Elephas maximus indicus: one gene and its partner. The protein of the gene in region 1 interacts with the protein of each later gene in a pairwise test. Links are inferred from orthologs where the notes say so. Each region holds a gene or a part of one and is shown on either strand. Other genes may lie near its edges.

The links. The genes of interacting proteins can lie anywhere in the genome.
Region 2: the proteins of MS4A12 (region 1) and PLLP interact in binary tests that used the Homo sapiens proteins (3 or more experiments, as listed by UniProt). The two-hybrid records come from large-scale screens. The link is inferred for Elephas maximus indicus from reciprocal best matches to the Homo sapiens genes MS4A12 and PLLP.

Annotation. Positions count from the first base shown.
Region 1 is NC_064825.1:123,643,973-123,651,299, forward strand, and holds the start of MS4A12 (membrane-spanning 4-domains subfamily A member 12), read left to right. Parts: upstream 1-3,877; coding exon 3,878-3,889; intron 3,890-4,975; coding exon 4,976-5,248; intron 5,249-7,327. UniProt on the Homo sapiens protein: May be involved in signal transduction as a component of a multimeric receptor complex.
Region 2 is NC_064839.1:24,216,326-24,224,561, reverse strand, and holds the start of PLLP (plasmolipin), read left to right. Parts: upstream 1-4,969; 5' UTR 4,970-5,102; coding exon 5,103-5,237; intron 5,238-8,236. UniProt on the Homo sapiens protein: Main component of the myelin sheath that plays an important role in myelin membrane biogenesis and myelination. Plays an essential function in apical endocytosis. Regulates epithelial development through the regulation of apical endocytosis.

The DNA of each region.
Region 1 (7,327 bases):
CAAAGAAATATCAAAAGCTAATGCTAAGAAAGGTGATGTAGTAAGTTCAAATGCATGTCATTCCATGAATATCAATCAGCAATCCCCCACTGTGAGCATCTGATGATAATGTGGCTACCACATAATTACCACAGCACAGTAGAAATACTGTAGCACTTGGTTTTGTAATACATTATATTTAAGGATCCCCGGTGGCACAGTGGTTAAGGAGCTACTACAGCTAACCAAAAGGTTGACAGTTCAAATCTGCCAGCAACTCCTTGGAAACCCTGTGGGGCAGTTCTACTCTGTTCTATAGGGTCACTATGAGTCTAAATCGGCTTGACGGCAATCGGTTTGGTTTGTTTTTTCCGAATCAAAAGATGGTAGAAATCACAGTTTCACTAGGTCATCATTTTTATTTGTGGAACGCTATAGGAGCACTGGTGGCACAGTGGTTCAGCAGCTCAGCTGCTAATCAAAAGGTCGGCAGTTCAAAAACCCACCAGCCACTCCATGAGAGAAAGATGTGACAGTCCGCTTTTGCAAAGATTTACAGCCTTGGAAACCCTATGGGGCAGTTCTACTCTGTCCTATAGGATCACTATGAGTCAGAATCAACTCAATGGCACACAACAACATAAACCTGTATACTTGTGTACGTACTGGGTGATACTGTGGAATTGATTATTAGCAGTTGTCTTCATCCTATAGTGCTAAAAGTGAGATTAATGTAGAAGTTAAACAGAAAGTAGAAAAAAATAATTTTTTCCCATTTTTATTTGTAATTATCTAACCAAACAGCAAATTGGTGAGCTCTTGTCTTATTTCCATGGTCGTGTCCTTTTGCTCTCACCAGACCTACTTCTTTTTGATGGGTTCTTTGTGCTTAAAAATAATTGTAGTTGCTCTAATTTTTACAGAAAAGACAACTGATGGTAAATATTTTACCAATGGTCAAGAGGTAGATTGTACTAAATCAGTAGGTGGTATCTATGAAGAGAATCTATTCGTTGGGTTCCCTTATCTAGTATTATTTCTGGAATTACCCTCATTGGATAATCACTTAGCTACTTTCCTGAATATTTTCCCATCTCTGTGCCAAACAACATAACCAGCAAAGCTGTTCACACATCAATTCATTTTGAAATAAATTAAAAAGACCAGGACTGGCTCAGCTCTGTAATCTATTTTTGTACACCAGAATTTGTATGAGTAAAAATGCATTCTGAGATTAGCCATAATCCACTCTGTCCTATAGGATCACTATGAGTCAGAATCAACTCAATGGCACACAACAACATAAACCTGTATACTTGTGTGCATACTGGGTGATACTGTGGAATTGATTATTAGCAGTTGGAGTATTAATAGGAGTATTAATAATCTGTGAAGTTCAGAGGTGTTAGCCCAGAAACTAAAGAGTTGAGATGAAATCAGAAACCACTGATGAATGAATGAAAAATCCTGGGTTTTTCATTTCAAATTTCTCCATGAGACAAAAATTACAAAGATTAATAGTAAAGAAAGTAATGAAGTCATGCGGGCAGAAACAGGAGACGATCATTGAATTGTGCACTTCCTTAAAAAACTCAAGAAAATTCTTGTTCTGGCTAATTCCTGCACCTCGAGCTCCTCTCTCTTGTCTCTTTGCTCTTTTCATAATCCCTGTTATAAACTTTTCACATGGCCACATCTGTATTTACAGCAAGAGAGAAAGCTATATATCAAAATAATAGCTACCTTTTATTATGGTCTTGCCATATGTCAGGCACTTTCCAAAGGCTTTATAGGAATTATGATCACTTGATCGTCATACCAACCCCTTAGAGTGGCATCATTAGTCTCATTTTACAGTTGAGACACAGGGACTAACAGGGATTTAGAGAAGGTCAGTGACTTGCTCAGAGCCCCAGAGTTAGTGAAGCAGCAGACTGGGGATTAGAAAACAGAGTTTGAGCATATATGGCTGCAGAAACCAGGTCCGTGGGATGTAAAACCTCCTGTATTTGAACACTGTTTGAGAGTCATCAGGTGTCATAGTCATGGGGCTGTTGATTTTAACTTATTTAAAATAACATTTTTTTGGATTGAATTTTGTTTCCGCTTTTTAAAAACTCATCCCTTTGAAATCAGAGGTTTCAAAATTATGTGCCCTCCCCCTCTTTCTGTTGAGTTTTCAACCTTTTTCAGATGTAGCTAGCATCTGGGCAGCTTAGAGAAGTGGTTATGAGTGTAGGTTCTAGATTCAATTCTTTCATCTGTGAAATGGGGATAATAATAGTACCTACCTCATGAGGTTTTGTAAAGACTAAGAGAGATATTGTATCTCATGTACTTAACACAGCGATAATAATAATAACCAACCCAAGTAGTGTTTACTATGTGGCAGGCACAATTCTAAGAACTTTACATGGAATAACTCTTTAACACTCAAAGTGACTCTATAAGGGAGATACTCTCATTATTCCCATTTTACAGATAAGAAACCAAGGCAAAGAGAGGTTAAGAAACTTGCCAAAGAGCCAGGATTCCAATTCAGAGTTCATGCTCCTAACCACAACACTATATGTCCCCTCCTGTACATACCTGTACCTATACTTATTGCCGTCAAGTCGATCCTGACTCATAATGACCCTATAGGACAGAACAGAACTACCCCACAGAGTTTCCAAGGAGCACATGGTGGATTCGAACTGCCAACCTTTTGGTTAGCAGCCATGGCTCTTAACCACTATGCCACCAGGGTTTCCATACTGTACATACAGGAAGTGTTAAATAAATGTTAACTCTCTAGACAGCTCACCAGAGACTAGTTGAGGAGAGACCTTTCCAATTTAAGTTATTTAATCACTAAGAGGTCAGCCTGGATTATGAAGTTCTCTCCACAGGGTCGGAAGGCTGCAGTTTGCTGTTGGGTAGTAAGTGCATAGTCATTAGCCTTTCACCAAGGCTGGCCTGGAAGACAAGCTCTGCAAGCGTCCAGAGTGAAGCACTACGGCTGGAATTGGGGAGCTCTGGACCAGCAGTCAAAAGCCCAATGTTCTAGTCCTGACTTTGCCACACATTTGTTATGTAACCTTGAGCAAGTCATTTAAGCTACCTGAGCTTCAATGTCTCTGTAAACCAAGGGGAAACAGGACAGAAGGATTGAAAGAGCTCTTTCCCACCCTCAGATTTCACGATTCTATGACTACATGAGGAGCCCTGGTGGCACAGCAGTTAAGCACTTGGCTGTTAACTGGAAGGCTAGTGGTTGAAACCCATCCAGTGGCTCCGTCTCCGCAGCAGAAAGACCTAGCGATCCGTTCCCATAAAGATTACAGCCTAGGAAACCCTGCGGGGCAGGTCTACTCTGTCACATGAGGTTGCTATAATCAGAATCAACTCAATAACAACAACAACACCATGAGTACAAAGTCTGATAGCAGAAACAAGGTAAATACCCCTGGTCCGAAATAAGTGTCCCTATTAAAACGCCAGTGGTACAATGTACTAGCATGCTATTCATACTTCATACCTAGGGTGAAAAAAAAAAACCTCAAAAACCAAACCCATTGCCATCGAATCAATTCTGACTCATAGGTACCCTGTAGAACAGAGTAGAACTGCCCCATAAGGTTTCCAAGGAGCAGCTGGTGGGTTCAAACTGCCAACCTTTTGACTAGCAGCCATAGCAGCCAACCACTGTTACCCCTAGGGTGAAGGGGTTTATAACTGCTATTTTCTTGATATCCATGAAGCATAAGAAAATGATTTGAAAAGCACTAAAAAAAAGAATCTGATGATGCTGAAGACAAACTTTTTAAGTGTCATGACTTTTTTCAAGAATCAATAGTGATTGCTGCCTATATCCAATTGTGCTGGTTTATTCCCAACAAAAATTCCTTTTGACCGCATGGGGCCTAAGGTACTCTAAGCTTCCAGAAGGACAAAAATGAACTAGGGAATCTCAAGCATATTATTCTCAAAGAACAAAAGAATCAACTTAATAGACCATAAGTGAATTATCTACTTTTCCAATTACTGACAAAAAATTTCAAACCTTCAGCTGCCTTTCTTGCTATTCAATTGTATTCTCGGCCCCTGTTTATTACTTCTCTGCTTGCTGCTGTAACAGGTTATCTCAAATGTAGTGGTTTAATACAACACAAATTTATTAGCTGACAGTTCTGTAGATCAGAAGCCCAACTGCAGTCTCATTGAACTAAGGTCAAGCTTTGACAGAGCTGCGTTTCCTTCTAGAGACTCTAGAGAGAAATCCATTTTCTTGCTTTTTCCAGCTTCTAGAGGCAACTTTCCTTGGCTCATGGCCCCTTCCTCCATCTCCAAAGCCAGCAACGTAGTATCTCTCTGACCCTGCTTCCATTATCACCTCTCTTTCTCTGACTCTCTTCTTCTGTCTCCCTCTTTTACTTCTAAGGAAACTTGTGATTATACTGGGCCCACCAAAATAATCCAGGATAATCACCTTATTTTAAGGTCAGCTAATTAGGAACCTTAATTCTGTCTGCAACCTAAATTCCTCTCTGCTATGCAATCTAACATATTCACAGGTTCTGGGGATTAAAACATGGACATCTTTGCAGGACATTATTCTGACAGCCACAGCCCCTTCCCTCTTACCAATATTCTTCAGATATAATGAACTTGAGTAATGTCAATATATATATATATATATAAATATGTTTCAATACCCATTGCCATTGAGTTGATTCCAACTTACCCCAAACCCAGTGCCGTCGAGTCGATTCTGACTCATTTTTTGGTTTTTTTCCAACTTACAGCGACCCTATAGGGAAAAGTAGAACTGCCTGCCCATAGGGTTTCCAAAGAGAGGTTGGTGGATTCGAACTGCCGACCTTTTGGTTAGCAGTCATAGCTTTTATCCACTGCACCACCAGGGCTCCATATACAGGAATTGGAAAATGCCAAGAATTTATTCAGTTTCCTTTCTGATAAATGTATCATTTTTGGTATGTTTCATAGAATCTAGGACACATTTGTATCACCCAAGCCAACAACTCAAACTAGAATGAGTGAAACTGCAGCCAATCCATATCCACCAATAAATACTATGGCTTCTTGGTCTCAACAACCTCCGGGTGTAATAAACCCAGTAAATCAAGCTCCAGGCAGTCAGCCTCCTTTCGTCACTTCTCCCGGAATCTACAGTAGCTTTCAGCATGACCAAGCAAATATACAGATGGTAAATTCTGCTACAGGAACAGAGGCAATCAACTTTAAAGAAGAAGCACAGATACTAGGGGTAAGTCTACGTACTACTGGAATTTTACTTCTGCATTTACAAGGTTGTATTGTACCTACAAGTTACAGGTGGAGAAAGTTTATGATCATCGTTACATACTGCCCAAAAATTAAAAAGCTCAGGTCGAAATGATGACTTTGCATATATACTCTACACTGAGATCGTTTTATTTTAGATTCAGGCAAGAACGTAACAGGTGGCAAAGAACTCCTCCTAGCAGGACGATGCCATAATATTAACACTGGGAACACCACTATGTCTAACTTGATCTCACTTCAGCAAAGGACACTGTGGGCACCTTCAATCCTATCTCTGGATTGGTTACAAGCCTGGTGCTTGTATGTGAGTGAAATCACATTAAAATGAACATCCATGGATGCCTTAAAAGGCGAGGTACTGAAAATGGACCTTCTCCCAGGAAGGTTGGGTGTGAAAAAAATCAATGGCCATTCAATCCCCAGTGTCTTTGGAGATGTTATAACTTAACTACCACCCTGGTGGCCTGGTAGTACAATGGTTAAGTACTCAGCTGCTAATGGAAAGGTTGGTGGTTCGAACCCATCCCACAGCTTCTATAGGACAGAGTAGAACTGCCCCCACAGAGTTTCCAAGGAGTGCCTGGTGGATTTGAACTGCCGACCCTTTGGTTAGCAGCCGTAGCACTTAACTGCTATGCCACCAGGGTTTTCCTATAAAGATTACAGCCTAGAAAACCCTATGGGGCAGTTCTACTCTGTCACCTGAGGTCACCATGAGTCGAAATTGACTGGATGGCACCCAACAGCAACAACTAACACCTCACTTCTGCAAGGGGCACATTGAACAACCACCGTCTTGTCTCTTCAGGCATTGTGAAACGGGCCGTACTTATAGGCAAGAACTCCACCAGCCTAGGTAATGTTGTTAGTCCCTTTGCGGTGCAGGTGCCTCATCCGTACCACTATCACAATTGCACTAAGCCTCTCCCTGTGTGCATTTCTAACCTCTTAGCTGGAGCCTTCAGGAAATTACATGGAGTGTCCATAATGTGCCAGGCACGCTTCTGGTGACCTTACTACCTAGCTCAAGTGTTACAGTTTTAGGAAAGCAAAAATAAGCACAGGTTTAAGCTTTGGACAGGGAAGCAGCCCCTCAGTCACATGGGTAAGAGAGGCCTTCAGTTGGATCCTCCGCCTACCAGATAGAGAAAAATAGGCAGAATCCTCTGCTTCTGTTGAGCAAATGAGACAAACTAGAACCCCATATGGAGCCCTGGTGGCACAGTGGTTAAGAGCAAGGCTGCTAACCAAAATGTGGGTAGTTCGAACCCACCAGGTGCAGCCGGTTCCACACAGGTGTTAAGGAATATTTCAGAGACTATAAAACAGACACAACCTCTGTCCTCATGGAGCCTACAACCTAGTGGGGGAAATCAGACTATAAAGATAATGAACAATGAAATGGCATAGTGTGTTTAAAAAAAAAAAAAAAATCCTTGCCATCAAGTCAATTCCTACTCATAGTGACCCTATAGAACAGAGTAGAACTGCCCCACAGAATTTCCAAGGCTGTAATCTTTAGGGGGAGCCCTGGTGGCCAGTGGTCAAGAACTATGGCAAGCTACGGCTGCTAACCAAAAGATCGGCAGTTCGGATCCACCAGCCACTCCTTGGAAACCGTATGTTGCAGTTCTACTCTGTCCTATTGGGTCACTATGAGTCAGAACTGACTAGACGGCAAGGTGTTAATCTTTACAGAAGCAGACTGCCACATCTTCCTCCCGTCCTCCCACGGAGAGGCTGGTGGGTTCCAACTGCCGACCTTTCAGTTAACAGCCAAGTGTGTTTAAAAAAAAAAACGCCCATTGCAGGAAGTGTGTAAAAGACAAGAAGTGCCACACAGTGAGGGCATAATAATTTAAGGTTGGTCATGGTTGGCCAACTTCCTTAAAGATGACATTTGAGCAAAGACTTGAAGGAAGTGAGGGGCAAGTCACACAGATAGCAGGGAAGAGTTCCCAAGCAGAGTGACCAGCCAGCGTAAAGGTCTTCTGATGCCAATGTGTGTTGTTTGAAGAACAGAGAGGAGGCCAATAAAGTA
Region 2 (8,236 bases), on another chromosome or scaffold:
ATAAAGAAAACAAAATTCCTCACAACTGGACCAATGAGCAACATCATGATAAACAGAGAAAAAATCGAAGTTATCAAGGATTTAATTTTACCTGGATCCACAATCAACAACCATGGAAGCAGCAGTCAAAAAATCAAAAGACGCATTGCGTTGGGTAAATCTGCTGCAAAGGACCTCTTTAAAATGTTGAAGAGCAAAGATGTCACCTTGAAGACTAAGGTGCGCCTGACACAAGCCATGGTATTTTCAATCGCATCATATCCATATGAAAGCTGGACAATGAATAAAGAAGACAGAAGAAGAATTGACACCTTTGAATTGTGGTGTTGGCGAAGAATATTGAATATACCCATGGACTGCCAAAAGAAGGAACAAATCTGTCTTGGAAGAAGTACAACCAGAATGCTCCTTAGAATCGAGGATGGCGAGACTGCATCTTACATACTTTGGACATGTTGTCAGGAGAGATCAATCCCTGGAGAAGGACATCATGCTTGGCAGAGTACAGGGTCAGCGGAAAAGGGGAAGAGCCTCAAAGAGGTGGCCTGACACAGTGGCTGCAACCATGAGTTCAAGCATAACAGCGACTGTAAGGATGGCTCAGCACCGGGCAGTGTTTCATTCTGTTGTGCATAGGGTCACTGTGAGTCGGAACCGCTATGAGATGGCACCTAACAACAACAACAACATATCTGGAATGTCTGTCTCCCCAATCAACTATCAGCTCCCTGAGGGTGGGGCCCTGTCTACTGTTCGGGGCTCTGTCTCCCGTGCCTGGTGCAGCTGAGGTGTTCACTAAACATTTGCTCAGTGCCTGAATTCCCACTCTCTCCAGCATGCCCCACCCCTGCCCCCAACCCATAGGAGGCAGGCCCAGCACACAGTAAGGGCTTAGCAAACACAGAGTAGGGACTGCAGAATTGACAAGAACTGAGACCAGACACGTGCTGCAGGTGAACTTTGTGGGCATGGTCTACTGAGACCCCGCGGAGGGGACCATCCCTGGGAGTAGACAGGTCTCCTCATCCTTGGCATTCTGCCTCCTCCCCCAGGAATCCAGGACCTTCCATGGTACCAGTGAAGATTCTGGGTGGGAGGCTGGCTCCAGCCTGGGACAGGTTCCTGGCTCCTTCCCACTTTTTCTGACCGGGGGCGAGTAAAGTTGGTTTGGAAGAAAATGTTGAAGTGGAAAACAGTGCAGTGATTCAGTCTTGCTTTCTGCCATTTGAAAGGAATGAAAGTGGGATTAACCAAAAAAACAAAATCCAAACCAGAGCCAAAGAAAAACAAAACAAAAAAAGAGTCAAAAACATCCCACTGTTTTAGAATGTGCCTCAGAAACAGTCAACTTATTGTTTCCTGTGTCATAATAATATCAAGGGCCCACCAGGGGTTTGCTCTGCCCTTGGACTCAGTCAGCAGAGGTTGGCCTCTGGGTAACAACTTTGTAGTTACCAAGTTGCACTCCTTATTTCTAGAGCACCTACTATATATGTGTGTGGGTGTCTGGGGTAGGGGGGCAGGCAATGGATTGGTAAGGGTGTCCAGGTGCATGGGAGGAAGGGGCTGAACATTCAGCTGAGTGGATAAAGCATAGCAGCTGAGCTCCTAACCCACCGTGTCACCAGGGCTCCAAAACTCTCCAGGCCTTAAAACAAAACGTTAAGCCCCTCCAGTAGTGCAGTGCTAGCGGTTGCCTCTTAGTGACCCAATGTGCCAGAGTAGAACTGCCCCATAGGGTTTCCTAGGTTGTAATCTTTCAGGGTGCAGATCACCAAGTCTTTTTTTCCCCCATAGCTAATGGTAGGTTAGAACCACCAACCTTTGGTTAGCAGCTAAGGGCTTAATCATTGCGCTCCCCGGGCTCCTTCTCCAGCATTGTAGTGGCTGATTAATGGCCACTTGAAGATATCAGATCCTAATCTCTGTAATCTCTACATTTTACCTCATAAGAAAAAGGGGCTTTGCAGATGTGATTAAATTAAGGATTTTGGCACTGGAAGATTCTCCTGTATTTTCTGGGTGTGCCGTAAATCCAAAAGCAAGTTTTCTTGTAAGAGGGAGGCAAAGGGAGATTTGATACACACAGAAGAGGAGGAGGCCATGTGACCGTAAAGGCAGATATTTGAATGACGTGGCCACAAACCAAGGAGTGTTGGCAGCCACCAGAAGCAGGAAGAGGCAAGAAGCATTCTCCCCTAGAGCCTCAGGAGGAAGCACGGCCCCACTGAGACCATGGTGTCGGCTCAGTGAAACTGATTTCGGACTTCCAGCCTCCAGAACCGTGAGACAATAAATGTGTGTTGTTTTAAGCCACCAAATTTGTCGTAAGTTATTACAGCAGCCTCAGGAAACCAAAAAAAAAAAAAAACTGGTCACCAAGTCAGTTCCGACTCATGGTGACCCCACATGCATCAGGATACACCCGTACTCCATGAAGTTTTCAGTGGCTGATTTTTTGGAAGTAGATCACCAGGCCTTTCTTCCAAGATGCCTCTGGGTGGATTCTCACCACTAACCTAGCCTAGCATTTAACCATTTATGCCGCCCAGGATGCCCATGACACTAATATAATAATCTTAAACAACCCTGTGTGGCCTGGCCCCTGCCCCGTGTCTGATCTCTTCCTCACTCATTTTACCCCACACTGAGCAGGGACTTACTTTCTATTCCTCGAGTTGACTATCCTGGTCTAGCCTCAGGGCTTTGGTACATGCTAAGTATTTTCCTCCCAGCCCTATTGAAGACTGGCCCCTACTAATGATTCAGGCTTCTGTATAAATGTCTTCTTCTCTCAGAGGTCTTTCTTGACTGTCTACCTAAAAATTGCCTCCAGGTCACTCTGTCACATTTCTGTTCAATTTGTCATAGCATTTATCACTATCAGAAATTTTTTTTTCTCCCTGGTTTGCTACCTGACAACCCTCCCCCCCCCACACACACACTAGAAAGAAAGTGGGATTCGAGAGGGCTTTCTGGCTCGTTCCCTGCTGTATCTCCAGGGCCCGGAATAGGACCTGACATAGTAAGTGCTCAGCAAACACTGGTTGATGAATAAACGAATTATCTGTGCAAGCTGCTATGAGCAATGGGTCAGTATGCGTGTGTCCATCAGTCCATGCATAGGAGTTTTAGGGTGCAGGTGGAGCAATGAAACCCCCAATATCACCTTCCACCCTCTGAGTGTGCCCCCTACAGGTGCCAGGGCCTGTCCTGGGAACTTTTTTTTTTCATCTGTTTTATTATTTTCATACTTTAGATGAAGCTTCTCATTAAACAGTACACATATTGTTTTGTGACATCAGTTACCAACCTGACAACTCTCCCTTCTTGACCTTGGGTTGCCCATTACTAGCTTTCCTGTCCCCTCCTGCCTTCTAGTCCTTGCCCCTGGGCTGGTGTGCCCCATTAGTCTCGTTTTGTTTTATGGGCCTGTTTAATCTTTGGCTGAAAGGTGAACCTCAGGAGTGACTTCATTAATGAGGTAAAAGCATGTCCGGGGGCCACACTCTTGGGGTTTCTCCAGTCTGTCAGGTCAGGAAGTCTGGTCTTTTTTTGTGAGTTAGAATTTTGTTCTACATTTTTCTCCAGCTGTATGTGGGACCCTCTATTGTGATCCCTGTCAGAGCAGTTGGTGGTGGTAGCTGGGTACCATCTAGTTGTACTGGACTCAGACCGGTAGAGGCTGTGGTAGTTCTAGTCCATTAATCCTCTGGACTAATCTTTCCTTTATGTTTTTAGTTTTCTTCATTCTCCATTGCTCCAGATGGGTGAGACCAGTGGAGTAACTTAGATGGGCGCTCATAAGCTTTTAAGACCCAGATGCTACTCACCAAAGTAGAACGCAGAACATTTTCTTTATAAGCTACATTATGTCAGCAGACCCAGATGTTCCCCTGGACCATGGCCCCCACAGCCCTCAGCCCAGTAATTCGGTCCCTCAGGGAGGCTGGATGTGTCTATGGAAACCCTGGTGTCTAGTGGTTAAGTACTAGGCTGCAAACCAAAAGGTCGGCGGTTGGAATTCAGGCGCTCCTTGGAAACCCTACCGGGCGGTTCTACTGTGTCATATAGGGTTGCTGTGAGTTGGAATGGACTTGTCAGCAAAGGGCTTGGGTTTTTTTTTTTTTTTTTTTTGACTCCTTTTTTTTATGAGATTAGCAGGATGGGGTACTGGGCCCTTCCTTGAAGCTGAGAAGATGGGAGCCGGGTGTGTTTAAGTTCACCCAGAACATGAGCGCCAGAGTTGGGACTAGAGCCAGTGTGTCAGGAAGGACATCCAGGTAGTAGTGAGGACCCTCACTTCAGGCTGTCCCCCTTTCTTATGGAGCTTCCAACACCTTGTCTTGTACAAGTTGTGCTGGCTTCCTGTCCTGGGAACTTTCCACGGAATATCTCATTTATTCGTCCCATCAGCTTTGTGAGGTTAGGTCCCTTCATATACCTATTTTACAGGGGAGAAAACAGAGTCTCCCGTCTTCAAAGTTACTGTTCAGTATGTTCAGAAGCGAAAAACCACATCAAGTCACAAAAGACCCCTCCCTCTGCACGCCCACATTTTATGCAGACTCCTTCTCCCCGGAGCTCCGTCTCCCCAGGAACTCTGTAGGAGTAGCTGGACAGGGATGCTGATCCCATTTTACCGAGAGAGAGCGTTCCAGAAAGGCGCAGGGGTGTGTCCGAGGGCGCTCTGCGGGCCGCGACTAGTTTAGCCCGATACATCGAAGTTGCGGGCCAGGAGGGCCCGGAGGAGCGGCGAAAGACGCGACAAGTAAGGATAAATTCCCAGGAGGCAGCTTTCCCGGGAGAAGAACCGTGCGGCTCCTCTGGAGAAGCCGTCCCGCTGACCGCGGCCTCAGTTTCCCTGTCTATAAAGTGGTTGCCGGCGGCGAGCAAAGGGTTAAAGGGACGGGTGTCGCCGGAGGGGCGGGGCCCGGACTGCGGGCTGCACCTGGCGGCTCCCAGCTCCCCGCCCCGAAGTTGCGCGCAGAGCTGGGAGCAGCAGCGGGAGCCGGAGGCCCAGGGGAGGAGCGGCTCGGAGCGGGCACCCACGGCGGGAGGAGCGGCGGCTGGAGCAACCTAGCTAGGCGAACGGAGCCGCCATGGCCGAGTTCCCGTCTAAAGTGAGCACGCGAACGAGCAGCCCCGCGCAGGGCGCCGGCGCCTCCTCCTCGGCGCTGCGCCCAGACCTGGGCTTCGTGCGCTCCAGCATCGGTGCGCTCATGGTGCTGCAGCTGGTGAGGACGCGTGCGGGGCCGCGGGGCCGGGGCCGGGGGGTCCCGTCCGGGCTAAGAGGGGACTAACGGTCGGGAGCTCAGGGGCTGCGCGTCCTCGTAGAGGCTCACATGCGCACCGACGCGCCCTGCCTACCCCAGGGTTGCCTCTAGAACCGACGTCCCCAAAGCCTCCAGGCACCCTCTCACCAGAGATGCCCCGCTGCAATCCCAGCGAGCGCACGCACCGTGCACTTCGGAGACAGCCCCACTTTCCAACCCTTCATCTTTCCCCCGCCACTCACCATCACCATGGTGGTCACAGGCGGCCGCACTCTCAACAAACGCTCACGTTACAGTCACTGCGCAAGACACGCACACATTCTGCCAGGACAATGCCCCCCATCCAGCCCTCCAGAGGACCCAGCTCGAAGCAAAGTCCACTCTCGCTCCACCTGCTGAGCTCCCAGCGGCTCCGCGTGGCTGCCCACCCCCCCCCCCGCAACCCCCATCCCCGCCTAATCCAGAGGGCACATCCATTTCCCTAATACATACGCTTAGGCACGGTCTTGTGGGCGCCCTCGGGGTGGCCGGGTTCTTCTGGCTTCTACTGGATGACCTGCGAGTTTCAGCCAGTTTGGCTGGCCCCATGGAGCCGAGATACCGCGCTTGGGGCGGGAGCGGGGGCACGTTTGTGGGAAGCCAGACGCACGACAGCTTTACCTCTTAGGCCCCTACGTAGACCCTAGAAGAGGCGGACAGATGCGGACATTCTCTCTACCTTCCCCCATTAGTTTCACGCCAGGGGGTGTTAGCTTTCTTCCCACAACCCCTTTTGTGTGGGGGAGTCAGGAAGCTGGGTGATTGCCGCCGTGGGAGGCGTCCCCGGCAGCTGAGAGCCTGGGCCATTTTCAGAGGGCTAGGATGCAAATGGAGGTAGGCTAGGGTCTGTCTTCCTCTACAGTCCACCGAAAGGGCCTTTCCCGCTGCTCCCTTGCTGCTGGATCCTCCATCAAGGCTGCCAACCTCCGCCAGGATGGGGAGGGGATACGCTTGCTTGGTGCCGCTGGAATCTACCCCACCCCCCAGGTTGCCCACCTCCCTCTGGGTCTGTGCTGTCTGAATTTCTGAAATCCCTGTGGCCCCTCCCCACTCCAGCCACAGACTCTCCCTGAGAGGTTTGTTTAAATGCAGATTCTTGTATCCTACGTCTGGAAAACACGTGGAATTGGCATTTGAATATCAGCGAGAGCTGCTCGGAAATCTACATTTTAAATTCGTCTACCAGAGTAATTTTTTTGTTGAGATTCTCTGCCTTGGAGAGGGTTGCAGGGAGGCCCAGTTCCGGGACTAATATAAGTCTTCTTACTGGTGGGGAGAGGGAAACCCTGGTGGGTAGTGGTTAAGAGTACAGCTGCTAACCAAAAGGTTGGCAGTTCGAATCCACTAGGCGCTCCTTGGAAACCCAATGGGCAGTTCTACTCAGACCTTTAGGGTCACTATGCGTCAGAATCGACTTGATGGCAAAGGGTTTGGTCTGGGTTTTTTTGGTAGGGGTAGCCGCTGAGCACTGTGTGTGCTAGGCTGTGGGCTGGTCCGTGGGGCACAGTGGGAAAGTGTCAGGTGCTGCCTTCCTGAGCCCTGGTTTGAGGGGACAGCCCAGCATATATGGGCAGAGGAAGAAGAGAGAGAAATTCTGAGTCCAGGGGTGCTTCATGAAGGAGATGGCTTTTGAGCTGGTGCTTCACTGATAGCGAAATCTGGGGCAGAGGAGGGAAGGGCATTCCAAGGGTGGGGCACAGTGTGAGCCAGGGCTTGGAGGTGGGAAAGTTAAAGGGGAGTGGGGTGTAGTAAACAGGTTGGTGATGTTGGAGTTGAAGCACTTGTTTCTGGTGTAGCCAGAAGCTGAGAGCGAGGCCCTGGAGTACATCTGTGAGAAATAGGGATTTGGTTTTATTGGCAGACTTAGGTGGAGCCCTGGTGGCACAGTGGTTAAGCACTCTGCTGCTAACCAAAAGGTCAGAGGTTTGAACTCACCAGCAGCTCCACAGGAGAAAGATGTCTGCTTCTGTAAAGATTACAGCCTTGGAAACCCTATGGGGTAGTTCTACTCTGTCTTGTAGGGTTGCTATGAATCAGAATTGAATTGATGGCAACAGGACTTTTTAATTTTTTTCCTGACACTACAGCCTGCAAAGACCTTGGTAGCTTCCTTTGGAGCAAGCATGTGTTCCTGATTTGGGGGTCTCCTGCAGGCTCAGCAGCCCAGCCCTGAGCATCTGGGCCCCACTGAAAAGATGCGGACATTGAGGTCTAGGTAGAATGTAAGACTTGTCAGGGGTCCTTTGGTGCACCTTGGCATTTGTGTCTTCGGACCCCCAGAGACTGGGTGTGAGGGAGTGTGCTTCCTTTGCCTACCCCGCTCCCTGGCAGTGCTTTGGTGCCTGAGAGGTGAGGGACTCGGATCAGACTTCTGAAGACTCATACCTTCTAGAGCCTTTGCCAACCTTCTTGGTGGAGAAGCTGCTTCCTGAGTCATTTCTCTGGCAATGGACCAGTCTGCTGGATCTGAGACAGGGTGCACCCAACAAGCACCACCATCCACTAGGAAGCCATAATAGTAACAGCAGCTCCTACCAGTCAGGTGAGCACTGGGGTCCAGGCCTTTTGCCAAGGGCTTTATATTGCCCCCATTTTACAGGTGAGGAAACTGAGGCACAGAGGCCAGCTACTTGCCCAAGATCTCACAGTCTGAGAGTGGTAAAGCTGGAATTTAAGCTCAATGGTCTGCCTTTTATGGCCCATGCTTTTAATTACCACCCTCAGCTATGCTCCCAAGGGCCACAGGGCCCTGTGCTGTCAAGGGGTGATGGGGACCCCAGGCCCAGTGCCTGTTCTCCAGGAGCTCTTGGTCAGTTTGGGAGGTGCCCAGAGAATGCACTTCTGGAGAGATCAAAGAAGGCTTCAGGGAGGAGGCAATAATGAAAAATGGAAACTAATACTCTATCACACCACTTCATTTC